3 linked regions of the Tribolium castaneum genome follow. The protein of the gene in region 3 interacts with the protein of the main gene of each other region in a pairwise test. Links are inferred from orthologs where the notes say so. Each region holds a gene or a part of one and is shown on either strand. Other genes may lie near its edges. The genes, in order: WW domain-binding protein 11, mop and drk.

The links.
Region 1: the proteins of drk (region 3) and WW domain-binding protein 11 interact in binary tests that used the Homo sapiens proteins (3 or more experiments, as listed by UniProt). The link is inferred for Tribolium castaneum from reciprocal best matches to the Homo sapiens genes GRB2 and WBP11.
Region 2: the proteins of drk (region 3) and mop interact in binary tests that used the Homo sapiens proteins (3 or more experiments, as listed by UniProt). The link is inferred for Tribolium castaneum from reciprocal best matches to the Homo sapiens genes GRB2 and PTPN23.

Annotation. Positions count from the first base shown.
Region 1 is NC_087394.1:25,616,610-25,620,693, reverse strand, and holds WW domain-binding protein 11, read left to right. Parts: upstream 1-1,385; 5' UTR 1,386-1,492; coding exon 1,493-1,556; intron 1,557-1,611; coding exon 1,612-1,737; intron 1,738-1,795; coding exon 1,796-1,893; intron 1,894-1,950; coding exon 1,951-2,199; intron 2,200-2,660; coding exon 2,661-3,470; 3' UTR 3,471-3,510; downstream 3,511-4,084. Other genes in the region: Mnat9 (N-acetyltransferase 9-like protein), read right to left, coding at 393-745, 800-856, 904-1,013, 1,060-1,136. UniProt on the Homo sapiens protein: Activates pre-mRNA splicing. May inhibit PP1 phosphatase activity.
Region 2 is NC_087398.1:12,632,778-12,636,112, forward strand, and holds part of mop (tyrosine-protein phosphatase non-receptor type 23), read left to right. Parts: intron 1-593; coding exon 594-2,522; intron 2,523-3,335. UniProt on the Homo sapiens protein: Plays a role in sorting of endocytic ubiquitinated cargos into multivesicular bodies (MVBs) via its interaction with the ESCRT-I complex (endosomal sorting complex required for transport I), and possibly also other ESCRT complexes.
Region 3 is NC_087399.1:3,452,166-3,456,265, reverse strand, and holds drk (growth factor receptor-bound protein 2), read left to right. Parts: upstream 1-1,528; 5' UTR 1,529-1,591; coding exon 1,592-1,669; intron 1,670-1,713; coding exon 1,714-1,811; intron 1,812-1,862; coding exon 1,863-1,982; intron 1,983-2,033; coding exon 2,034-2,199; intron 2,200-2,631; coding exon 2,632-2,805; 3' UTR 2,806-3,483; downstream 3,484-4,100. Other genes in the region: Ucp4A (mitochondrial uncoupling protein 4), read right to left, coding at 1-475, 621-731, 944-974; sta (small ribosomal subunit protein uS2), read left to right, coding at 3,992-4,100. UniProt on the Homo sapiens protein: Non-enzymatic adapter protein that plays a pivotal role in precisely regulated signaling cascades from cell surface receptors to cellular responses, including signaling transduction and gene expression.

The sequences.
Region 1 (4,084 bases), on a different chromosome or scaffold from region 3:
TGTGAAACAGCCTGTATTTTTTTCTGTTTGAAAGAACAAAATTGATGTCTTCTTCTAATATGAGGTTTAAACGAAACATCCTCTATTATTTTACTTTCACGCGAATTATATTTTTCTCTAGTGAATGAATATGTTTTTAGTGTCCTTTTATGTAAATTAAGTCACTTATGTTTCAATTATTTTATTTGGTATTTTGTAAATTGTAAATGGTTAAATCACTTATTTATTTTAAATTTTTATTTGAGCTTTCAAAAATATAAATTTCCAAGTAATGTCTAAGGATTTTAGGCAACAAAACCTAGGAAATACTGAGCAAAGTTTGAATAAGCTTTAGGACCGAATTAAAAGTGAGGAAACAAAAAGGCACTAAATTTAAAGCATGAACAAAAAAATTATGTTTTATTTTCAACCACCTCATAATCGCCAACTGTACTTTTAAGCCACGCTATCCACGTCTCATCAACTATTTTACTGAAAGTAATTTCTTTAAAAATCTCGCTACGACCAGTTTCAATAAACCCGCAACTTTTGAACATGTGGATGCTAACATCATTATCGTCTGAAATTTTTACAACAAATTCTTTTACACCGAGTGTTTCAATTCCGTAGAGAAACATGAGTAGCATGGCTTCAGAACCGCATTTCCTACCTCTAGCCCATTGTTCTGCAATCATAATTTCAGCCTCTGCACAAATCCTGTCGTCAGCGTTTGCAAAAAACAGATTTGTGTCGCCAATCATTGACTCTTAAAACAGTGCATTTATTTCGTCGTGCTTTTTGTCTAGACTAACTAATTTACCAATTTCGTTTCCACAACTGTTGTATTTCTCTTTATCAAGAATTATGAATGTACATTCTGAAAAAATGAACTAGAAAATTGCAAAGTAAAGTGTGCCAATTTACTGTCTTCGTCCATCATCCAGGACTTTTGCATGTCGTATTCCTCCTCTAAAGTAAGGGGCTCCGAAGCCGTCAGCTTTTGGAGTTCTTCAGATTGCATCCAACTGTGATACCTGAAAATTGTTATTAAAATGACGAAACAACGCTATTTTCACCTACTTTGAGACATGTTCGGCTTTGTAAGGCACTAAAATTGTCCGGCAGCCGATAATTTGTGTGTTTTTGTTTATTAACATTTTTAGATTATGTAAGGTTATGTCTTGATGTTTGTAGCCGATTAACTTTGGTACCGAATCACTCTAATCTGTGACCGAATACCGAAAAATTAAATATTAATTTAAATATTTTGACTGTTGTAGATAAATTAAATAATGGTGCTTCATTTTTAAATGGAAAAATATAATGTTTTGGTAGGCTGTTTAAACATATTTCTATAGAATAAGATAATACAGAATTCAGTGATTGACTTTGTATTTCGACCACAGAATATTCGGCTGCAAGTCAATTCGACCGCGCGCCATGTAATGTTTGCAATGATGTTTTGAGTGCATTTTACGAGTTTTACGTGAAAATAAAGTGATATTAAGTTAAAATGGGGCGCCGGTCGATTAATACCACTAAGAGTGGTAAATACATGAATCCCACCGACCAAGCCAGTAAGACGATGTTTGGGTTTGAGGTTAGGTCACTCAAAATTTTGCCAATTTTCAGGAAAAGAAGCCCGGAAACAGGAATTAAAAAAGAATAAAAAGCAGAGACAGATGGTACGGGCCGCTGTTTTGAAAGGCAAAGACCCGCAACAGATTTTAGAAGAAATGGAAAAAATTGATCAGATGGGTACAGTTCTTGTAATGGCTTGAATAACACGGAAGATTGACTGTTTTTGTGTTTTTAGAGTATAATGTTTATCAACCGTCGCCCTTAAATGAGAAAGTTTTAAAAGACAAGAGAAAAAAGTTAAGGGATACGTTAGATCGAGTTCTTAGTATGTATGTAAGTGCTGAAGACAGGGATTTTAATTGGATGGTGTCGAATCGTTGTTTTTTTCAGTATAAAGACGATCCTGATAAGTGGGCCGATTTGAAACGAAGACAAGCCGATTATGAACATAAAAGGAACCAATTAGTCGCATTTTATGAGTCTGTTAAGAGTGCACAGCAAGTCCAAGTTGATGAAATTCCTCTGCCACAACTACCCCAACAACCAAGTAATGCCCCAGCGCAAATCCCGCTACCTTCGGAAAGAAAACAAGAGCACACGATTTATTCCATAGCCACCGCGCTAAAGTTGCAAGCACTGGTATGTATTTTTTAAAGCATTGGCAACTTAATAAAAACAACTTTGTATTAAATGAAAGTTTTACACTTCTATTTTATAACTACTATTTTTTTACTTTATTTTTCTTTTACTGTTTTTATTCCTTCGAGCATTTATGCAAACATTCTTTTTATCTATTCCATCGTGGGCACTATATTTTGTCGATCTGGCGATCTTTTACTTATTTTACTTCTTTCAAATGTATCTGAGCTTCCTAATTCGCTTTTCCTCATGTATCTTCACTTTTTATGCTTATAAAATTTTCTGAGCACTCTGACTCTTATTCGACACTCGATTTTTACGCACTAAAGTTTTCTTAACTCCAAAATAAAGCATTTGCAAAAACATTCAAAATTATTTTTACAACCTACTAAGGTAGCAAAAAAATTGAAAAAATTCGAGAAGTCGTTAAAGTAAAATTGCTATTTTTTTTGTAAAATTAGGGCCAGCCTGTGCGTGAGCCCCCCGGGTGCCCCCCCGGCCCGCCACCAGACATCAACGACGACGGCGAAGTGGAAGACTTCACTCGAACCGACGACGAAAAGGACGAAACAACTGAAGACTCCGACACAGACCCCTCCTCCAAGCCCACCTCCCTCCAACAGAAAATGGTGGCTTTATCTGGCCAAAACGTCGACGACTTCATGAAAGAAATGGAAGTCGTCCAGAAAAAACTCGAAACAAAAGAAGACGAAACCCGGGCTAAAACCCACCCTGAACCACTCATCCCTCCCGGAACGGACCTCCCACAGCCCCCCACTCCACTCCTATTCCCCAATCCTGGACTTCGATTGCCTCCAGGCCCGCCCCCCGGCCGTCCCCTTCTCCCCCCAGCGCCACCACCGGGATTACCACCGCCGCCTAGGATGCCGCTGCGTATCCCACCAGCGCCACCTAGGATGATTCGCTTGCATGGGCCCCCGCCTACGCTCCCAGGGGGCCCCAATTTGCCCTTAGGGACCCCGAATGTGTTGTCGGCAGCCCCCCAACTCATAAATCGGGTCGAGTCGACCAAACAGGGGGCGACGATTTCGGCGAAGCCCCAAATTCGCAACTTGAGTGCTGATGTGACGAGGTTTGTGCCCTCGGCGTTGAGGGTTAAAAGGGAGGATAAAAAACACAAGCCAAATACGAGGACGTTGCACGAGTTGAAGCAGAAAGAGTACCATTTGCATCAAAATACGCACCCAGAGCAACATACGAAAGATGACGCCTATAAGCAGTTTATGGAAGAAATGCAGACGCTATTGTAGTTTCTTTTATTAAAAAAATTACAGTTTCCTGTAATGAAAATTTTTACTTAGACTGGTAAAAAAAATGTAGGTAGTAAGCTGTGACGTGCAATCTGAATTGTCAAATTGACAGTTGTACACCGCAGCCTTGATTTTGGAAAAATCGTGCGTGATCGTTGTTTTCCTCACACTTGCTTGCGTCATGATTTTTATCGCAATTGTTTAATTGCCTAATAAACCGCATTGACGTCACTTGAAATAAAAGCTCAATTCGCGCGGTGTATATCTTATATTTGGCAAATGGATAATACAAACAATGGTACCTATCATTGTAAATATTTACTTATAATTAAAAAATTAAGGAGCAAGAGTCAAACAAACAACTCGAACACTGTGCAAAATAACATAATATTTGGGATTGTAACCACTAAAAATAAAACCGTTCGTTTCCCGTGATATAAGAAAATGAAGCGCCTGATCCTCGCTCCCGTTCGGAATATAAAATAAATATAAACGAAAGAAACACAAATTGATACATTTGAGCCAGTGTAGAAAATAAGTGGCAGTGAAATATATTTGTAACTATTGTGATCGAACTAAAACAATGCTTTTATTTATGTATCAATTGTTTTCCT
Region 2 (3,335 bases), on a different chromosome or scaffold from region 3:
CAGTGTACACGTATGTTGAACATTATGACGTCACGGTATGCGTGTAAAAAGCAAACTGCTCATTCCCTTATAGGAATATATTAATACCTAATCACTTTTATTACGTTTTGTTACAAAAGGAATGTCGCTATTTTTTTTTAATTCATTTATCTTGGATGACAGGCATAAATCAAAGGTTAGGATGTGCTGTCAAATGCCAACAGCTGTTTTCTACTACATACCGCTAAACAAGTGCACAAATCAGCAAAATAAAAAGACGATTAGAATAAATAAAGACTTGAAGAAAAAAAATTAAAAAATGTTTAAAAAAAATATGCAAAAAAATGCACTAAGAAAGAAAAAAAATGTTTTTCTTTCAAAGGAGAATGTTTTTGCTTACAGGTTGGGATTCAAAACTTTCTAAAAACTTTGGAAATGGTCATAAGTACTCTAAATCATTACAATACGGCATAACAGAATTACTTTATTAAATTTTGGAATCCTAACCCGTAAGCAAACATACTCTCCTTTCATAAAAAACCATTATTTTTTTCTTTTTTTGTGCACTTTTGAATTAGAGTTTTTTAAAATCATTTTCCATGTATTTTTTTCAGACGAATCTGATAGAACAGAACGTGGCAGCTCAGGAAAACATTCTCAAAGCCTTCGTGGATGCGTACGCTCGGTCGATGTCGACTCGTCGCTACTTGCAGGACGTGATCAACAAAAGAACATCAACAGTCAGCGCACTCATCACCTCCTACGATACGTACGAAGATCTCGTAGCAAAGGCCAACAAAGGCATCGATTTTTACAACAAATTAGAAACCAACGTTTCGAAATTATTGCAACGTATTAAAAGCGCATGTAAAGTACAACAGGAAGAACGCGAGCAAATGCTGTTGAAAAACTCGGTCCCGGTACCAGCGACCAAAGAAGAACCGGTTATAAATTCGGCGCCAAAATTGAAAGATTTTATCGATACTAGGAAAAAAACGCGAGGTTTTAACGACGTCAGTCCCCAGTATTACCCTCAAGGCGTACCTGATGCCCAGACGTGGCCCCCGGCGGTTAGACCGGCGCCTTTAGGCTCCGAAATCAACGAACCGGTTGTAACCAAACCGCAAGAGCAGGTTTATGCCGGTTTAGATCAAAATTTGGCCGACAGAATGGCCAGTTTGAGGATGGGCTATTATGGACAAAATACCCAAGTGAACAAACAAGCCTATACTACTACCACTGATACGTACCAACCGATTTCGAGCAGTACCCAGAATAATCAAGTGACCGCTGATAATATTGGTGGACAATATCAGGGGTACCAAATGTCGTATAGTACGCCTTCGACGACGAGTTTAGGCAATTATGGACAGGTTGGCCAACCTGGCGAGAGTTACCCGCAGGTTAGCCAACCTTACCAAAACTACGCCCAACCTGACAGTTACTCGAGTTATAATCAAGCTAGCCAACTTTACAATCAAACGCCGAGTTTACCTAATCAAGCTGGCCAACTTTACAATCAAACACCGAGTTTACCAAATCAGGCTAGCCAACTTTATAACCAACCTACGACTAGCCAACATGATGCGTACACAACGTATAGCCAGACTGGCCAACCCTACGGCCAAATGTCAGTGGCTCAAGTGAGCCAACCGTACAATCAAACAAGTCAGGTTGTCCAACCTGACGTATACACCAACCAATATAACCAGGTTAGCCAACCTAACGTTTATTATCCCGCCGGTTATGGCCCCGCTCAAGTGCAACCAACCGAACAGACCTACTCCTACCCTAACACTTTCGGTAGTAACGAATATGCAACTTCGGTCCACCCTAATATTTCAAATGTGAGTTACAATTCGACTTATTCCTCACCTGGGGTCGATTTAAAAAGTTCCGATTCGAATTCGAAAAATTACGTAATAAGTAACGGCCAAGGTTACACAAGTTACGATCAGTACCAATACTACTACAATTATGGCCAAAATCAGACTTATCCCACCTATGGAAGTGGCTACAATTACGCAACACCGTCACCACAAACCTCCGACACTTCCATAACCGCAACAACGAAGGAATCAAACATCGACTTACTCACCGGCTTGGATTTTACGGTAAATCAAGCACCACTTATTCCCCAACAAAAACCATCGGATCCTGAAATAAAACCGCCCCAAAAAACGGAAACTCCGGTAAAACAACCAACAAAAGTTGTGAAAAACGAGGAAGAACCGCCGAAAATCGAACGAGTTGTTAATCGCAAGCCTCTCAATAATTCCGAAGTGAAAAAACTATTCGGCTCGGAAATTGATAAGTTTGAGAAATTCGTCGATGTTTTGACGAACAAAACCTTGAGCGGACCGACGAATTTGGACTTGAAATGGAAGGAAATACAGGACAAGCAAGACGTGGAGAAAAAAGCGATTTCGGTAGCGAGGTGTTATCCCATGAAAAATCGATTTCCGGATATTTTGCCCTACGATTACTCGAGAGTTGAGTTGAAGGCGGCGAAAGACGATTATATTAATGCTTCGTATGTAAAGGTGAGTGGAAATTAATAAAAGATGAGTTTTTTATTTGCGATAGATTAGGAGACGAAACGAGATACAAAATTGCACGATTTTCGCTACCCAAAAAATATAATACAGCGGAATAAAAATGAGGGCTTTAAGCGTTATACCGTCTTGTGGCCAAATCGTTTTAAATTAATTTAAATTCAACCAATTCACTAATTATTACTGGGAAAAAAATAAAGAAAAATTTACTACTAAAAAAATAATTAAATGTAGGGCTTCGTCCCATATTTTTTAAAACGCTGCGAATACTGCTAAAGATACGGGACAAATGTTAGGAAGAAAGTTATAGAGAATTATATTTCTTTTAAAAAACTCCGCGAGACCATATCTATCGTCAACACTGTTTAAGCTCCAAAGACGTCCAAGCGACGGATTCGTTTCATTTTACCGCTGGTGAGGTTTCGGAATAATTAATTAATAACCGAAAGCGTTGAAGATAGAAATATGGTGTCTCGGAAATTGTAGGCAATTTAATTCTTTACTACTTTGATTCATACACTTTTTTTTGTATCTTTAACTGTATACCCAGCGTTTTGATAAATATGCGACGGTGCGCAAATTAGTAATAATTATTCCTAATACAATTTTTGTTATATTATTGTTTTCGATAAAGAGTTTACACTATCTTTACCTCTCAGTTAGGTTTAATTAATTTTTTACTTTCCCATGACAGTTCTTTCAGATGAAACTAAACTATCATCTACCTTATTATTTCTGTTAAGTTAAACTCCATAGCCTTTCGTTTAGAACTAGATACTTTCAAATATTTCTTTACTTTCA
Region 3 (4,100 bases):
TTCGGAACTGACCCCTTCCACAGCCCCCTCACCCCCGCAGTCTCGACCGTTTTCCTAAACGCGTCGAAAAGGCCGTTAACTCGCGGCGGCAGCCCCATGATTTTGCGCTTGCCTTCCATTTGTAATTGCACTTTGAGTAAATCGGCCGGACTGGCAATGTACTGTGCAAAGGCCCCCGCTGTGACCCCACAAAGGGCCGACTTCCACACGGGGAAGTACTGCTCGGTGCCCGAGTCGAAAAACTTGTCTTTGAGGTGCTTGTACGTGACAATTCGAGTACCTGAGTAGAACAAGTGGCGGTACAAGGCGGCGTACGCCCCCTGCCACAGCTTCAGAAACCCCTCCTCGGAGACGATCCCCACGGCGGTGCGGAACAGCCCCCGGTACGGGGCCTTGACCATGCTCGCATCTTTGGTGTTGGCGACCTCACCCTGTATTTGCAGCCGCGTTTTGGCCAAATCTAACGGGTAAGTCACTGCAACGAGAGTCAAGGTCAGGTGATGAATAAATCAAAACTAACTTAAACGAAAGACTCGACAAACGCCAAGTTATTCTATAAATAAAGCGCGATTTTTTGAGGGAATACAAGGTGGCAAAAGTTACTTAATTTCTATTTTTACCTAACTCCGCATTCCACGCTCCGACCACCGATACCATGTACATGCACCATAGCGAGTCCACGTACTTGTGCTCCTTCGGGGGCGGAATCTGCGGCATCTTCACCAAAAAGCCTGAAATCACGGTCTTATAAGATTCCCATAGGGCAAAGTTCGAAACTCCCGCGGGGGCAATGTGCACGTAGCGTGACCGATAAAGACACAATAAGCCTTCATTCCTACTTTCTGCGTGATAAAGCGGAATGGAAATTGCAAAATTAATGAAAAAAAGGGCAATTAAAATTCAAAAAATTGTTGTGACGACTTGACAACACCGCACTATTAACCTGCAACCAACTTGTTGTCACTTTGACACATTGACACCACTTGGGGCCAGTTAATGGCAAACTCACCATTTATTTGTTTGGTGGAACTTCCGTAACTTCATTAGTTAAGTAAATAACGAACAGTTATAGATAACAATTGTCACGGCAGTGCTTTTGGGACTACATTGTTGGTGACGTGTGAGTGGTGTTGGTAGAATTTGATTCAAGTGACAGACGATTACTGCGCCCCTGGCGAAAAGTAGTTCCGGATTATTTCACCTTTTTTTTGTTATTTCCGTACCCAGTATCGAATTCTTTCCGGATTATCGTCTTTTGCGCCTGATTACTTGTCCAAAGCCGGCGAGTTTGTTGTGTTTGCGCGATAAGAGCGATTGGCTGTGATAAGATAGTGTTCCTCCGCCATGATTGTCCTCCAGTGTTGAATTTCATCAGTGACAGAAGGGAGGGTTCTCGTAAGGTTCGCGTAAAAACCCAACAAAAACACCAAATAAAGTGATTATCTTCCAAAGAAATGTGTTATTCGTTAGATTACAAAGCGGATGCTTAGTGCTAGTTGGAGGAAGCCAATGTATTGACATTGCCGGTGCTATTTGAACTTTTTTGGAGTCAGCTCTTGTGCTTTTATTTGTGATAAGACGAACTTGAACAATGGAAGCAATAGCGAAGCACGAATTCAACGCAACGGCCGACGATGAGCTTAGTTTTCGTAGATCTCAAGTCCTAAAGGTACTTCCCCGAAATTGTGGCTTGCCCTAAAACCATTTTTCCAGATACTGAATATGGAAGACGACATGAACTGGTACAGAGCTGAACTGGACGGCAGAGAAGGCCTAATTCCTAGTAATTACATAGAAATGAAGAACCACAGGTAAATACACCTTGAGGGGTCACATGATAATAACACAATTCTCTTGAACAGTTGGTACTACGGTAGAATCACAAGAGCTGACGCCGAAAAACTGCTCTCAAACAAGCACGAAGGGGCCTTTCTCATACGTATTAGTGAATCCAGTCCAGGAGATTTTTCTCTATCTGTCAAGTAAACACACTTTTTAGCCCCCAAAATTATAAATAACCCCCATTATCGCAGGTGTTCTGACGGCGTGCAACATTTCAAGGTGCTAAGGGACGCCCAAGGCAAATTTTTTCTCTGGGTAGTCAAATTCAATTCGTTAAATGAATTAGTAGAATACCATCGCACGTCGTCCGTGTCCCGGTCACAAGACGTCAAGCTGAAGGACATGGTGGCCGAAGAGGTGCGGAATCGTATTGTCTTTATTTTCAGAACAATTGTCAGTGTAGTCATGTTGGTATAAGCATTATCACCCTGTAGTTATTTGATATATAGTCTGGTCTACGGAGGACTATAAGTTAGGATACTAAATCGCAGGATTTCCTGAACCCAAAAAAATTGTACGGTAGACTTAAATGAGGGCGCTTCAAGCACCAAATCGTTTTAAATTAATTTAAATTCAACCAATTCACTAATAACTCGGAAAAAATGCAGTAATGTTGAGTTTGCATTCTCATCAGACTGAGGAAAACTGTCGACTAAAGTTTTTATGAAAAACATGAGGAAAAAATTATTTAAAATTTGCGATGATTTTTTGTGGGAGTTTTGACCTTGACAATTGTTTTGGAGAATAAATGGATGTAGAAATGGGCAAATTGTGACGTTCCTGTTGCAGTGCTTGGTGCAGGCCTTATACGACTTTACTCCACAAGAAGCCGGCGAGCTAGAGTTCCGAAGGGGCGACGTAATAACGGTGACGGACCGCTCAGATCAGCACTGGTGGCATGGCGAGATCGGACACCGTCGCGGCCTATTCCCCGCTACTTACGTGACGCCTTACCACACATAATATTTTTCCCTTAATTATTATTTTCTCAAAGGCATTATTTCACCACCACTCTTGGAAAAACCTGCGCAACTGTGGGCGATTTTTTACTTGGTTTTTAATTTATGTGATTTTGTAATAATCGTTTAGATGATTTTATTAATTGCTCATTGTTTTTGGAAAATCTCTTAATGTAGTTTTAAGATCAAATATTTTTATATTGGATCAATTGTACTGAAAAACGTGAAATTTATTAATCTTCTTCAGTTCAGTAGGTTATGGAATATAATATAATGTTTAATTTTTTAGGTAGAGTGTATGACAGGTTGCTTACATTTTACTCTGTTCAGATATGCAACGAAATTAACCAGTTAGGAGCAAGTGGAGCTAGTTTCCGTCGAAGATTTAATATTTAAATCCAATTTCCTATAAGATAGTGCACACAATATCGTATTTTTAGCAAATCAGATGCCATTTTTTGTATTTCTTTAAGTTATGGAGATTCGTGAGTTTATTTCAAAAGATTTTTATTTGTATATAATGCGTTAGAGATTATGCCAGAATTTTATTCAACACTCATTCGTTTGGCATTCTCTTGCTTTGACTTTTAGACTTTGTATGTAAATACTAACATAGTTTTATTATTACAATATTGCATTATTATAATAGGCGAGTATAAGTAAATATATGTTATATAAATAACAGCCGTTTTATTGCTTTCCTCTAACTCCAAATAAATACTCCAATTTTCTGACCTGCCCAACTTTCCTTAGAAATTCCATAAAATTAGAAAAAGTATTATGATATAATTTTACTCAGATGAATTTCACTCGTTGAACATTGATTTAACATTTTGGAAGTCTGAAAATTACTGCTTTTCTCGAAAACAAAAAAGGAAATTCAAATTTCGCACCACAATTTCACTTGGTGAAAAAGTGGCGATAGCCAACATCACGGCACTAAAGTTCCTTTTCCACGAAGGAATCGAATCCCAGTGGCATCTTTCAACGTAAGTCCCTCTAATTTCGAAAAATCTGACCCATCATCAACGATCCCGCCCTTAAAACCCCTTTAAACGTTCAATAAGCCCCATTGCCACACAATCCTGTGCTTATTTTCCCAAATTCGGTCAAAAATCACCGAAACACCGCCATAACCTAACTCTTTCACGCATCTTCCAGGTTACTCGTAACTCAATTCTAACGTAAGGATGTCGGGAGGTCTGGAAGTTCTCAGCCTCAAAGAGGACGATGTGACCAAAATGTTGGCCGCCGGCACCCATGTGGGCACCACTAACGTAGACTTCCAAATGGAACAAT